Linked DNA regions of Struthio camelus. The protein of the gene in region 2 purifies or fractionates together with the protein of the main gene of each other region. This does not show direct contact. Links are inferred from orthologs where the notes say so. Each region holds a gene or a part of one and is shown on either strand. Other genes may lie near its edges. The genes, in order: RMND5A and SKI.

What was found.
Region 1: the proteins of SKI (region 2) and RMND5A purify together in Homo sapiens (affinity purification with mass spectrometry; 3 studies listed by BioGRID and IntAct, counting the BioPlex papers as one, with this or other methods). This does not show direct contact. The link is inferred for Struthio camelus from reciprocal best matches to the Homo sapiens genes SKI and RMND5A.

The regions. Positions count from the first base shown.
Region 1 is NC_090945.1:80,788,557-80,796,480, reverse strand, and holds the start of RMND5A (E3 ubiquitin-protein transferase RMND5A), read right to left. Parts: upstream 3,062-7,924; 5' UTR 2,922-3,061; coding exon 2,780-2,921; exon of another isoform or gene 2,109-2,779; intron 1-2,108.
Region 2 is NC_090962.1:2,804,356-2,811,849, forward strand, and holds the start of SKI (ski oncogene), read right to left. Parts: upstream 3,240-7,494; 5' UTR 2,731-3,239; exon of another isoform or gene 2,328-2,730; 5' UTR 2,318-2,327; coding exon 1,406-2,317; intron 1-1,405. UniProt on the Homo sapiens protein: May play a role in terminal differentiation of skeletal muscle cells but not in the determination of cells to the myogenic lineage. Functions as a repressor of TGF-beta signaling.

The DNA.
Region 1 (7,924 bases), on a different chromosome or scaffold from region 2:
AGAGAAATAGCACTAAAGGTGCTTCCTAAATTATTTCAAGAATAACCACTATCTCTTTGTTACTATTTTATTATGACAGACATTTAAAAATCACATAAATGATTGTAAAGAACTGTCTGGCCAGAAATTATGACTTCTGCCAAGACAAAATAACGAGAGATTACACAACAAAAAATCCAAACACTCATTCCACTAGTCTGTATTGCCCAATAAACAGAGATGTCCAAATAGATTCTCTTGGTAGTCATTTTTTGCTTGAAAAGCCATTAAGCCAAAATCCAGCGTATGTCCAGTCAAATCTAGGCAACTTAAATGCATAGGTATTTTTGGCAAACAAGTAAGTGGATTATTCTCCCCTAAAACTTGCTGTAGCAGAAACTAACTACAGCAAAACAATGAAAATGTCCACAAGAAAAGCTATCAGATTCCTAAGAGAAAAGATTTTCCCCTTGTACATATCTCTTTCAGCTTTACACTCAGAAGTTATTTGTAATAAATCAGCAGAAGAAAGCCTGTGAATAGTCTTTTTAGTAATTCAGTGTTCGCAGAATACTACAGAACAATTAGCTTCTCACTGCATTGTGCATCACAGTCATAATCTAAAAGAAAATACATTAGCAATCGGACGCTAGGCACAGAGTAGAGTTCAAAGCCAAGCTTAGTCAGCCAGACACATGTTTATACCATCCAAGAAGAATAAACAATATTGCCTTGACTACTCAGGGAGATTAAATATATTAGGGAAAGAGAGCAGAAAAACAAAGTTTCTCTTCCTAATCAGTCGCTTTAACATAGGAGTATTTTGCATTTAGACTTTGTTATAGAAACAACTCAAGAAATTTCAAGAGACTATGAGTGGGGAAAAGAAAATCAGTGTTTAGAGGATGAAGCAGCTTCTAACAGTTTCTTTTTCTCCACCCACTTCCTTTTCATATCCACTGCCTATTTAAAGGTCTTTACATACAACCTTGCTCTCACCTCTTGTCCTACAACATGATTTTCTTCTTCAGTAGTACGGTTTTTCTTTTTTTTTTTTTAATTATATACATAAGCATATTTTAGCACTTCTGACCCCTGAACTATGAAGCTTCACATTAAGAGGCCTGGCTGCTTCCACTTCTGCTCATTTTCTAAAATATTCAGGATATAGCATATAATAGCTGCAAATATCTGGTTTTATTAGAAAGTTTTAAATAACATGTTAAAGAAAAAATAAGAATTTTGCCATCCGTGAAGACAGCTTACCCTCAGATGGCAAAAGTTAATAGGGTCTCTAAATGGGCGTACACGTAACACATTAGTTTCATTGTAGAGTACTGACTAAAACAAAGCTCCAGTTGGCATGCATTCTCCTGGGATGGCATCACCACTGATTTCATAAGCACCGAAAACATGTCTGGGGCCTTCACGAAACAGTCCCCAAAACTGTTAACCCAAGTCTGCAGGGAAGACACAGGGAGCACCCCGGAGGGACTGCGCACTTTTCATTTTTTTATGGAGAGTGTAAGCTCTGGATCTGCAACAGGATTCTTGTGGGCAAATCTTTGCAGCACCACAGAGGCCTGTGAAGATCAGTGCAAGCATGAGGGCCACGCCACACATCCTTCCAGGCAAGGGCAGCACCTCGGTGTGTGAAGACACACATCCTATCGACTGTCCTTAATGCACAAACCTAAACTGTGTTGGATAGAAAAAATAGTAAAATCAAGTCAAATCAAATAATGCCCCAAAAAGATTAAGTGTTCCTTCATCCCCTCCCAAAACGCCTCAGAACTGGCACTCCACATTTACTGTTGGTGTAAATTGCTGGGTACACACAGCAGCTCTAATATATTTGTTGCTACGTTCCTGGAATTAAGTGCACTTCCAAGCAAGCTTCGCACCTGTATTTCTACAGGACTAAGACAAACACAGTTTTCTCCGAACTGAACAAAAGCAGATCGCAGAAACCGGTGAAGCGGCACAGTTTGCTGTCAGGTTTGGGCTTAGGAGCCCGGGAGTTCCAGTTTAAAATCCCCGAGCCGTGGCTCGCTTCCTACACAGCCTGGGGTAAACCGCTCGGGCTGCCTCCCCGTTCCCTCCCGCTCCGTCGAGAAACGCTGCGTTACCTCTGTCCGGGGCATTTGGCAAAGCTGAAGCGGCCCCGTGTTTAAAGCTCACGCCTCAGAGAGCTCACTCACCCGCCAGCACTAGCCGTAAAAAAAAAAAAAAAAACCAAAAAAAAACAAAAAAAAACCTGCACGGCCAAAACTTGGGAGGCTGCGCTTACGCTCAGCTCCAGAGCGGCTTCGCCCTGAGCGCTCCCCAAGCTAGCCACGACTAAAGCAAACAACGGAGCGGCTGCGGAAGTAACGACGAGGAAAACAAGGACAGCCAGCACAACGCTGCCATCCATCCGTCTGTCCGTCCATCCGTGCTGGCCCCGTCGCCGCTCAGCAGGAAGGGGCAGGAGATGCCTCAAGCAGCAAGGACAGGCAAGGCCCTGCTCCTGCTACAACTTCCCCCCACCACACACACACCCCAAAAGTGTCACCCTTAAAGATAAATAAATAGATAAAAGAAAGAAAGAGTGGGACACCGGGGGGGGGGGGGGCTGCTCAGGCCCCGCACAGCGGCCGGGACCCCCTCGGGGCCGCCGCACCAGGCCGCTCGCCGCCGGCCCGCGGTGAAGTTTCGCCGCTGGCGTTTCCCGGCCCGGTGAAGGGAGCGGGGGGGACGGGACGGGCCCGGTGCGGCGGGGGGACCGGGGAGGAGGCGGGGGGGGGGGGTCTGCACCTACTCTCGCTCTGCAGGATCTCGCGGCGCAGCCCGCCCGCGTACTGGATGAGCTCCTCCAGGCTGCGCTCGCAGAGCTGCCCGTAGCCCGAGAACTTCTGCAGCACCTTCTCCAGCTCCCGCTCCACCGTCACGCACTGGTCCATAGCGGCCGCCGCCGCCGCCGGGCCCCGCTCCTCCGCCGCCGCCGCCGCCGGGCACCGGGCCCCACTCCGCCGCCGCTGGTTCCCCCCCCCACTGCCCCCCGATCCTGCCCGGCCCTCGCCGCCCTCCGGCAGCACCGCCCGGCCCGCGGAAGGGCCCCGCTCGCCTCCCGCCGCGCTCGCAACTTCCCGCTCCTCTCCGGTGACGGCGGCGGCGGCGGCCGTCGCGCAGGCAGCGCCGCGGGCAGCCCGGGGGCCTCGGCGGCGCTCGGCGCAGGCAGAGCAACGGGCAGCCCGGGGGCCTCCCGGCGGGCCGCCAAGGGCGGGGCGGTGAGTGTTGGTCAGGCAACGCCGCGGACAGCCCCGGAAGGGCCTCGCCCCCCGCCGCGATGGGGGGAGTGAGTTGCCCCTCTCGAGCCGGCGGAGGCCTCAGCAGCGCGGGCCTCTAGGCTCCCCCCTTAGGCAGCCCGCGGGGCGGGCGCTGAGAATAACAGTCTAGGGCGAGGGGGGTCCTCAAAGTGCCGTGTTACGACTCAGGCAGTAAGGTAGGCAGCTAAGAGCGGGGTCCTGCGGGTGCCGTTGCCATGGTGACAGGCGCGGCCCGCGGGGCCCTGATGTGCGGCCCAGACCGGGCCGCACCGGCGGCTCCTCGGGCCGTGGCGGAGGGGGCCGAGGGGTCTCCTGCGCCGTGGGGCGCCGCCGGCTGGGGCTGGTCCCTTAGGTGTAACTTAGCCCCCGTGCTGAGGTGAAAATCGCCGGGCAGCAGCCCGTCGCGGCGGGAGCGGAGCTCCGCGGGGGCCGGGGGCAAGGCCCTTCCCCACCGCCCCCAGCCTTGCACTGCTACGTACCGCCGAGAGGCTTGGAGCGGGGTCAGTGCTTCATTAACAATCCTGGCGGGCCGGAAACGGAGGATTTAGGCTGTCATTAGGGCACTAGCTTGGCCAGCAAACTTCCTCTTGAGTGTTGAGTCTCGTGGGTTAAAGTCCTGCAGCCGACTGATGAGCGCGGTTGAAAGAGATGCATGCCCCTGTTTGCTTGAGTATCGCTTGGTTGGCGTACTTGTGGCAACTTCAGTGTTTGGAAAGTGTAGCACAAACCAGACCGTGGCCCCACGGTTTCTGTAGCGCAGTACATCAAAACCTCCTGCTCAACTAGACAAAACTACCTGCAAAAACAGCACTTGGTCTGAGCCTGGAGTGATGTTGTGTCGTCTGTGCCCGTGTAAAGTACTGCTGAAATAGGATAAGAAAATAGAGAAATCTGTATTCTCTTGCAAGAGCACGTGATTTGTGTAGATGCCTACAAGTGGCTGTCATTCTGTTGGATTCAGACCAAGACTGCTGCCCTTGTTTGTAGTCTTATTCTTTATGTAACCATATGTGATGTTTAAAGCCATGCAAATATCATCTTGGGTTTTATGTCATTAGCATGCTGGTTTGATTTGTTACGTTCTTCACCACTGTATTCTCCTTTGTCTTCTGTTAGCATAGGCAAGCAAGTTCACTTTTTTTTTTTTTGTCATTAAACAAAACCTATGTCTTTTGCAGGGAGCAGTAAATGGATTCTCACTGTTAGAAAAAAGAAAATATTACCTGCTTCAAAAAAAATGATCCTTTATTTCAAGATTTAATTAATCCATTTTGCTCCTGTATATTGGTTTGGCCTTGATACGTGTTCAGTTTCTGTGACATTGACTACTGCGTATTTGAAGGCAAGGGAACTTGCCACGGGACGGGGAAGAGTGACTCTCAGCTACAACTAATAAAATGCTTGACTAGATAAAGCTTTGAGCAACCTGGTCTGGTGACATAGCTGGCCCTGCTTTTTGAGCAGGCGGCTGGACTGCGTGACCTCCTGGCATCCCTTCCATCCTGAATTATTCTATGATTCATTACTAGATCATGTAAGGAGTGCCTCATTTAAATAGCTAGTGCTTTAGTTGAGCTGTCAAATCTTGGCCATCATGCTGCAAAATAACATCTACGTGTTAAATCTGTGTCCTTTTGGCCACTTGTAGATAATAGGAAACACCTTACAGTTTCTCCACATGTAATAAAATAGTGTTATTTGGCTGCTGCCATTTTGCTTTGAGACTCTCACACGCACTTACTGGCTGTTTTGAATAATATCAGTTAATGACAAGTAGGCAGGGTGTCATATAATGTATACAATTTGTGGCAATGCACCTATATTGTAGAAAAAGTACATCAAGGGATAGTATGTGAGTGAGCTCCTAACAATTACACTTACAGAGCAGGCTGACTCTTAGGAAAACTGGTTTCAGATAGTCTAAATGTTAGTTTGCTCAAATTTATCTTGTTGTATGTCAATATTAAAACCGTGCAAGAAGAGGGTATGATAGTATTTAACTTGGCAAGGGATTTAACTTGGTAAGGGACTGACTTACAATTTTCAGTTTCAATGTTATGGACTTCAAAATGACAGCCCTTCTTTCAGTGTTCCCTGTATAAGACTGAGTCTAGGAAGTGGATTATTGCCTGTATTTCCAGGCTGCGGAGTCAGCAACTGCCCGTCAGGAAGGATGGGGGAGGAGAGGGAATCCTTGCCATTTATCAAGGGGCAGCTGAGGCTTCAAATTTGGCCCTCTGACAAGAAAAGATGGTTGTCCCATTTCTCAGGATTTGGTCTCGTTCTCTGGTAAATCATAGTAAAATATTTTTGCTGCCAAGATTGTTTAAAAGCAAATCCCTGCTTCAGGTTTATGTTTAAGGGTAGGACTTACATACTTCATTCTCTTCACGTTTGTAAGACTGCTCTATGAGCATCGGACTGACTGTCTGATGGCTGTTTAATATCGTTAATTAGGTTGAGTTAACACTGGGGTCTTTAAAAATGTCAGCATCTTTCTTGTTTGCCTTCAGCCCAAATGAGTTTTCAATTCACTGTTCTCTGCATTTCCAGATAATTAAAATCCCTGAAAACGTGTTTGCAGCTGACACGTCAAAGACATTCGGAGTTCCAGCTAGAAACCAAGAAATGCCGGTTGCGTCTAGAACATCATGGCCAGTTCAGGTGGGGTCAGTTTAATAAGTCAGGGATGCGAAGGTGGGGAGAAAAAAGAGGATGAGAGAGTCTGGGAGAGGAGAATTGTTTTAGGAGGTCTTTCTCACTGTACTCAAATATGAGTCCGAGGAAGAAAATCCAAGCCTCTGTTAATATGTCAACATTTTCTGGTTTGTTTGAGCAGAGCCCTCAGTGCTGTGGGAAAGTCTCCTAGGCACCAGTGTTTTAGCACAGAGGCCCCAGGTCTGCTGCTCAGCTTTCCTAGCAATAATCCTTTTCTCTTCCAGGCTTTTGGTTAACTCACCTGCAGTGGCCAGTTCCTGGTCATACCAGTGCCCAGTATGCTTTCCATTTGCGGCTGTGCCCCTATTCATCATTGCTTTCTGTTGCCCCTTTGCCTCTGTGTTCATAGCTGCTTTGCTTTTGGTTGTTTGGGGGGCTTTTGAACAGTGGTTTGAAACATACTTTTTACTTTCTTGAAGTTACTCCAGGGTTTTGAGTTTTGGCAGATGATTAGCTTAGTATCTGCAGGGGACTCATCATCACTTACCACTGGGGAATGTTAGGAACTGATTTAACTCAGCCCATGAGCATTAGGAAATGACATATTGGTGACAGCCTCCCCAGCAGTTGGTGTTGCAAATAATTTTGCTGTGAGTGTAGACTATTAATTGTTGCTAGGTGCTTTCCAGCTGGAGGAAGCCAGACTATCACTAAGCACAGCACACAGCCTGAAGCAATAAGGGGAAGGAGGGGATACAACAAAGTGATTGGGTGGAGAAGGGTCTACAGCTTCTCGTGTTAAAAACAAAATGCTTTTTTTCTTTTTTAACTCAACACACAAAGTTTCTCTGCAAACATTTAACTCCGTATCTTCCTCCCACCCAGCACTCCACTTATTCTTGAGCTGCTCACTTGAAACAAAAAGTACAGAAATCAGGCAGCTTCTTGTGTGTGTCACAGAAGAAAGGGGTCTTCATGAAGCTTTTAGAAGAGAAGAAAAATGTGGTTTTCTTGGTGTGTTTTCAATACTTGAGAGCCTTCCTTTGGTCCTAGCGACAGGTGATGTTGAGTGTGCTTTTTATTGAAAGTACTTTGGCTCTTCGAACAGTAAGAACAAAACCGTTCTCAGTTTTGTTTTGGCCAAGGGGAAAGGATTAATCCTAGTGAGGTGGCCGCTTTCATATTAGGGAGATGGCCACTTACTCCGTTGAAGAGGGAGCTTATGCAGCTTTAATGTACTATGAAGGAGGAGGCAGCGCTTCAGCCCTGTCCTCCCACAAGCTCTTCCTGTCGACTGTTCCTCCAGTACGTTGTCCTCACGCTGCACTTCCCACAAGAGGCTCGCTTCAAATCAGAGTGAACTGATGAAATCAGTTTGCATTTAATTAAGCAGCATCAGCAGAGCTGGGTTTTGCAGTCCACCCTCTCCGCCTTTAATTTTTACTGCACCACATAAAAAAGGTATGGAGAATAAGGGTTGAGATAGCTCCTGATATGAGGCACAAAATTTACACGCCCCCAAGGGCTTGGTTGGTGGGCAGCTGCTTCTACAATCTCTCTCCTCTTCCACTTTCCAGAAAACAAACTGCACTGGGTCCGTTGCAGAAGAAAATAGCGTCCCGAATTTTCCTCTTGAAGAGGCAACGGCTGTGCACGAACGTGCAATACCAGGCAGGCTGAACCTGCATCCCACTCTGCCCAAATCTTAGGCTGGATAGGTTAGGGCACGGAAAGACAAAGGGAAAGGATAGAGTTCTTATTCCTCTTCTAGAACTGTTGACATTTTGCCTTTTTTTTTTTTTCCTTTTCTTTAAATCATACCACCCTATAAATGTGTTTAACAGTTCTGAGGAGTTTGGCTATGTAAATGCTTTCTCTCTCCAGGTCAATTTTAATGTTATCTTTTAAAAATGTGATTTTTATACCCTGGTGCGGAATTACTTAAGCCCGTACACTCTGTGGGGTTGTCAGTGTTTTGA
Region 2 (7,494 bases):
AAAAAAACGTGGAAGCCAATCCAATCTATTAATTAGGCCTTTTAGGCTAGCTTTACTAACTATTGCATTGTGTGTGAAAGGCATTTAATCAGCTTCGGTATTTTTTTTTAAAGGAAAGTTATACATGAGTCTGAGTGTGTGTTTGTATGTTTAAACATATATTTGGGAAGTTAATTAAGAATCTTACTGAACATTCTCAACGGGCTTTGAATGTTGCTTCTCCTTGGGGCTAGTGTCATTGCTCTTCCACTCCAGACACTTAAAAACCCATGAAAAGTTTCCAAAATCTCCAACAGATGAGGCAAAATCAATACAACAAATCAGCAGTGTAAAACTCAGTAGGCAAGAGTTAATTCGACTTTTCTTATTTGCCTTTTACCCTTTGGGGAGGGGGGGAGAAAAGGGGTGGGAAGTCAACTGCTCATCCTGCAGCCAATTGCACCACTGCCAGCTAGCCAGACATCCTGGTGTCTGCAAGCAAATCCTCAAGGCCCTGTGGCACTCATCGCTGCCCATTGATCAGGACTGGTGCTAGATGCCAAGGCAGCCTCCCACCGACATACTAGACAAGGGATTCTGGGATCTAAAGGCAGCTCAGACTGAAGTGGGGGGGGGGGAAGTCACCTAAAATAAACGTGCTGTCTGGATAGGCAGACTGAATACTGCATGGCATACCTTAAAGAGGCTGCTGCAGCTGGCCCTAGACAGATTCATTTACTGAACATACACATAATCCAATATAGAAAAGCCAGTCTGGTGGTGAGATTCAGACTCCACTGAGATTCTCAGAAAGCACAGAAATCTCTGTTCACGTACCAGGTACTTAATCTGAATATTAATAGCCTGCATTATTGTCAGGATTTTTCTTAGCAGTCACATTTTATTACAATACATGCATTTAGACAATTTAGCCTTTGCCTCCACCCCTGGAGGTATGCAGTTGAGAAGGAAGCTGTATATATTTGTGTTTGGAGCAATCTGTTACTTTTTCTCTTGCATCCTCCTTGTCTTGACCCCTAATTCATGCCCTTAAATCCCGATGTTACATACTTCCTGCTAGAGTCTGGGGCAATGTGATGGGATTCAAAGATCAAGTTCCATGTACACTAAGATAAACAAATACATATAGATATGTAATTCAATTAAACTCTAACTACTGTATTCAGAACAGAAAAAAAAAAATCTAAATTCACAACCATTAAAAAGTGCCATCTCAAACTCTGCTCATCTACACTGAAAAACACGTGGTAAGAATTAACAGCATGGTTAGATTGCTAAGTGACTTCAAAATGAAAAGTACTTGGTAACACATGGGTATATCAATGGATGTCACCTAAATTATAGAAAATTCCCCTTTCTCTTTCTCCCTTCCTCAGTTAAAATAAGAATTAAAGACATCACTTACCCTGGGGGCTTTTCTCTTGTATTTGTTGTTATAGTCAAATTTTTCTTTCATTTCATCTAAGAGCTGGCCCAGCCGTGTTTTCTCCTCTTTCCCAGTGTAATCCTGGCTGAGGAGAATATAGGACCTCCAGTTTGCCGAGTCAAAGCCCCAGTGGCAAGTCCTATTTTCCAGGGATTTGTGAGAGTGGACCACAAATTTGTGAGGTGGGTACATAAGCCTGCAGTCCAAGCACTGAATGCAGGCTGCACTGGGGTTATTGTAAAGCTCTGGGACTAAGAGCCCCTTACACTTCCCAAAGCACTCATGATACACCTTGAAGCTCTTCTCTGTGAGCTCCAGCTCAATTGTGCTGGAAAACTCCTTCTTGCAGTGGGGAGGATAGGTGCCACCGTAAAGCAGGGCATTACAAAGCCTCTCAGCATCAGTTTTGGTAATGAGCCCGCAGGAGGGAGCAGAGAAGGGCAGGATGCCCATGACTTTGAGGATCTCCAGCTGGTCAGCGGTGCATCTGGAGCAGTAAATATGTAGCTCATCACACACTGAATTGATCTGCTGCAGGGAGAAGTCTCTGAGCACCGAGTTCAGGATCTGGGGCAAGCAAAGCCGCTTTTCTCCGCCCACCACAAAGCAAGAGATGGTTTCCCCTTCCAGGATGGTCTCGCACCTCTCTGTGGATCTGTCCGAGGGCATGAAGAAGGGGCCAGGCATCACCGGAGGAGGCTGGATAGGGGGCAGATGCAATACAGGTTCTGCTGGGTCTTTGCCATTGTCCTTCTTGTACATCTCCTGTGCCCATCGTGCTGAGAAAGCAGCAGGGCCACCCAGGGAGCTCATAGAGCTCAGATGAAACTGTTCCAAGGTCTTCTGCAGTCCTGGATGAGGCTGGAAGCTGCTTCTACTTACAGTCTCCATTTTTTAGTTTCTATTCCCAGAACAAACAACAAAACCCTCAATTATTTTCCACCCTGGTAAAAAAAAAAATCCACTTAAAGTTGTTGGTTTTTTTTTTTTTTAAGAAAAAAAGAATTATTATAAAAATAAAACAACCCACCCTCGTTTTTTCTCCTTCCCACTCAGGTTTAACAATCCACTAATGAACAGCAAATAAATCCTTTTTGTACGTATTTCTCTCCCTCTTCTTTTTCTCTCGCTTTGTTACACTTTCAAAACCTCCAAGTCTCCAAAGATGCCCCGATGGAGCAAAGAGTCACGCCAAAAGAGGTCTTCATCCGAACACTCACCCCCTCAACCAAGCCCCCGAGCAAACCAATCCCGCCCCCCACACCTCCGACACACATACAAGACACACACACACACGCACGCACCCACAAAAATACAAAAAGTCTATGCCACGCTCCGAGCACCAGGGGCTCAAATATGTTCTGGCGGCTGCTGCTTCTCTGCAATAATCTCCGTTCTGTCCATATCCACCAAAAGGAAGGAGCGGGGGAGGAAAGTAAAAAGCAGAAGGAGGAAGAAAGCTTCGTCTGTGGAGGGGAACAACGCAGAATAAAATTAAAAGGCCCAAATCCCTGGCAGTTCCAAAACGGCGAGGGGACTACAGAAGGACAGATAGGCAGGCTCCCTTTTCTCTCGTGGTCCCTTAGCTTGGTCTGGGAGGACTCTTCGTCTCTCGGTTTTCCTTTCTTCTTTCTCTCGGTCTTTTCAGCGTGCTGTGGGGAGCCGCGGTAACAGAGCGCTCATCCTCCCAGCTCCTCTTTCCAGCAGAGACTGAGAGTGCCTGAAAGCTGAGCTAATGCAGGCTGGCTCAGCCTCCCTCACTCCTCCCCCCCCTTTCTGTTTGTTGGTGTCTGCCTCAGTCATTGAATCACAGCCAAGAATGTGACCAACTCCCCAGGCTGGGCTCTTCCAGGAACAGCGGCCGCCTCCCCCCTCTCGCTCTTCTTAGAGCTTCTGCAAAGCAGGCGCACAGAAAGGCCCCGGGCGGCAGAGCCGGGGAGAGAGAGAATAAAGTGCTGGGTTCACAGACCAGCTCGCTGCGGTGGAGGGGCGGGAGGGCAAGGCTTTTTTTCTTCTTACAGTTTTATTCCTGAACAGTAGTAAAAAAAAGGAGCACACAAAAAAGTGTATGCCTCACACTCGCACACATACAAGTGCAAGTGCACCCCATAAAACCTGTACTTGCAAAACCTGCTTACAACATTGAGCATACACCCCTTTGTATTAGCAGAAATCACACACGTGCAAACACAATACACATGCCAGCTTTACAAACACAACTTATGATATGGAACAGTATATACATTGATAGCACAAATCACTCAGATGCAAAACATGACAAGTCATGCACCAAATTTACACAACACTTCATACACATGCATTCGATATTTTAAAAAACATTCATGGAATAAAGAGCAAAATACACAAATGCCATATGCCTAACACTCTACGCATCTAATGCAAACACGCAAACTCCATGCATGTTTGATATAAGGAAGGAATACAAGGCACAACCACAATACGGGTACAGAGAAAATAGATGAACTACCAAAACCCCCACTGAAATGGTAACGTGACTTCAGGCTCGAAAAAATACATTTGTTACAAATTTGAGCAAGTCAATATCCTTATTTCAACAAAATGTGATACAGAATATTTAAGGACCATGGCTAATAAGGACCTCTTTTTTTACCTCCCATTTGGCTGTACTCTGTGCAGACCCAGAGAGAAGAGCACCCTCTACTGAGCGATTTTGCACTTTTTTTCCAGAACTGAAGGCTTTTCTTGAAAGTTTCCTGTTCTGTTACTGATCCCTTTTTCAACCTTGAACAGTTTGGAGAAGTTAAAATGAATATATCAACATGCGTGCACATATCACCACTGCTCAGTTCTGCGAATTTTATTATTATTTCATTATTCTGAGCAGGAATTAAATGTTCTCTAGTCTCTATTAAAATTAATTTACAAAACAAAAAAGTTGACTTTCCCCTTTTTTCATGAGCTACATAACTGAAAGTCTGAACATTTTTTAACTAGCTCTAAGCACACACATAAGAAACAAATTTAAAAGGTTATTTCTGTGATCTTGGAATCTCTGTAAATTCACTGTGTGTGCAGACAAGGCTGGAGAATAGCTTCACAGAAATACAATTGTTGTTAAAAGTATTATCTGTAATGAAGTTGTCAGTCGAAGCAGTATTCATAGTTCAGAATCTTTCTACACTGAGGGATGCAGAAATTGAGCATTAGGATAGTCTCTTCTGAAAGTGCTTACCATTATAATATAAATTCAGAGAAAACAGATCAGGAAAAAAGAGGTAGAGCAAATAGATGTATTTCCATATACCACTTCAAAGAGCAAAGTAGAAAACAAGAAAAGGATGAGATTTAGTCAAAATCAAGCTGATATTTTATTTGAATTTTTATATTCTGAAATCACATTCAGAGTAAGGGAAAGAGGTGTCAAAGAGTTGTGAAAGAGCCTTGATCTTTCAAGTGAATCAGCATTTCTCATCAGGGAAGCCCTCTCTCACACATCCAATGGAAGTATCAAGCCTTCATGTATTAATAGGGAGTTCAGAGAAGGGAAGAACCAAACATGTTGATTCAAGTCATCAGTTGTATCTTCATGTACTGAGAGAAGATGCTTAGAGAACCTTTATCTACTGCTGGCATGAAGTATCCTTTGGATTTGTGTTCATATAGTGCATAGCACAATGGATTTAATGATCCATGAGTGGAATTCTTAGGTATTACCACCATACCAAAGTCTAAAGATGGGAACTGACAATCAAGACTATATTGTGCTAGTTACTGATTCCTAGTGCTAAAGAGGTTACCATGTTAACAGAAAGCAGGCCTAGGAGTATTCTGCACTGAGTAATAGGGTTATCTAAAAGCTTTAGTTAAGAATCATTTTCAATAGTGTTTTTTTGAACTGATTTATGTCACTTATTGATAATATGAAGCACATCCATGACATTCCGTTCATGCCATCTTTCCAGACCAAAACATGTGCTTTACTAGAAAAAAAAACTCTTCCTACTGTTCACCCTCATCTTAGAAAAGTTCTGAATATGACACAAGAGCAGTACTAGATACTTGATGAAGTCCACTAGGAATATGGGAATTTAACTGTTTTTCATAGAAGGTAACTCAGATACACTTGTAATGAGCAGTAGAATAATTCCCTAGACAGATTTAATTCAGTTTCAGCCATTTTTAACTCACTAGGATATAAATGTCCAGACGTACTCAACAGGGAGTATGGAGTTCCTGATCCTTTTAAAGGATGAAATTAATGCTTGGAAGGAATTTCGGTTAGTAACGTAAAGCTTCTTAGCTCTGGAAGATGTTTTTTGGCACTCCTCCTCCCTCATCCTTTAGAAATAACAGTAATAACTGCAGCTTATTTTAAGAGAGGTGCCATCTTCCCTTCCAAATGTGTCTTTTATGCAAGTAAATCACTGGAGCACACAACGGATTGTTTATGGTTGGAATTCATATATGGAATTCCTGAAGCAGAGGGGACTACCAAAAAACAGGAAGGATGGGCTTGTGGTTACGGCAGAAAACTCAGGACATCTGGAATTGATTCTCCCACAGACTTCCTGTTGCCTTGGGCAAGCTATTTAGTCTCTCTGTGCCTCAGTTTCTATATTTGCAATATTGAGATTGTGAATCAGGGGCAGCTTCTGAACCTAAATTCATGAAGTGACAGAAAACAATTTTTAGATTCTTGGAATAACAGTGCTAGAGATGGGCAGAGCATTAGAATCAAACAGCTCAACCTGCAGTTTTCTCCACATAGTTCTAGGCATCAAAAGACTGGCGTTTGCAACTCATACAATAACAATACATTAAAATTTCCATTTGTCTGTAACTTATAGGCTTTGTAGAATCAAATAGCCATAGGGCAGGAGAAAGAGGAGCAAAGAGCGCTCTCATTTGGGATTAAGGTGTCAGCGGTTTCTGAAGTCTCTGCCTCCCTTGATGATGGATTGTGCAGTGCAGTGTATTTTAAAATTACATTCATCTTTCCCCCAGTAACTGCTTGTCTTGCTCTAGTTCCACAGCCCTCTAGCTGGAGAAAGGAGAAGGAAAAAAATATCTCAGAGGAAGGGCCCTAACACCACAGTGTTTTTCTCATTTTCTCCCTCTTCTCCTCCCCCTCCCCACTGGCTTCAAGGCCAACAGCTTCTGGAACACAAACACTCTTGTAAACTTCTGAACCACACAGCCCTGTAGTGGGTGGGTGTTTGCTCCCGGCCTGCCAGTTCCAATCCACCCACAGATTCCAAAGGCCCCGAACAAAAAGCAGACTCCATTTTCCCTATTTAACGGACAATTCATTTCCCCCCCAACACCCACATCACCTTCTTTTGCAGAACTGTGAGCCTCTCACAACTATCATGTCCCACCTTTTACATCCTCCCAAAGTGGAGGGTGACATGTTTATGCATATTTTCATATATACATACAAAAAGTATATCCTAAAATGATTCACCCTAGCCCTGCTCTGGTTTAAGATGTCTGCTTAGACAGGAAGACCTGGGGATTATCAAGAACTGTGCTTCCTATTGAAGCTATTTGACAAAACATTGGGGAAAGGCTTATTGTGAAGAATGTGAAGAAAGACAAGTAAAAAATGAAATGTGCAAATGTGACACACATCAAAATCGCTGTTGCAGCTTAATTTAGATGGTAATTCATTATAGCAGTGAGCATCTAATTTCTTCATGTTTGCATTGTTCATATTCACTTCTAAACGTGACATTTAGGTATTAAAGCAAAATGATTTCTACACAAGTAGAATATACTATGACATTTCCTTCCCTCCTTTCTTTAAGGAACCTCTGCTAAAGTTTACCACTTTCATTGACTATTCCCCTTATAGTGACACTGGGAAATGACAAACTATCCAGAACCTGCAGAATAAAATTTCAAACTCTTGTTGAAAAAGACTTACCTAAGAGTCTGGCAATCTTTTTCAATTAAATATTTCATTTTTTCCATCAATATACAGTTACAGCTCACAGAATATTACTTCACAAATTTGTGTCAAATTCTTAGCTTTTTGGCTAAAACAAATGGTGAAACATTTATTTTTAAAGAAATCAAATGTTTAA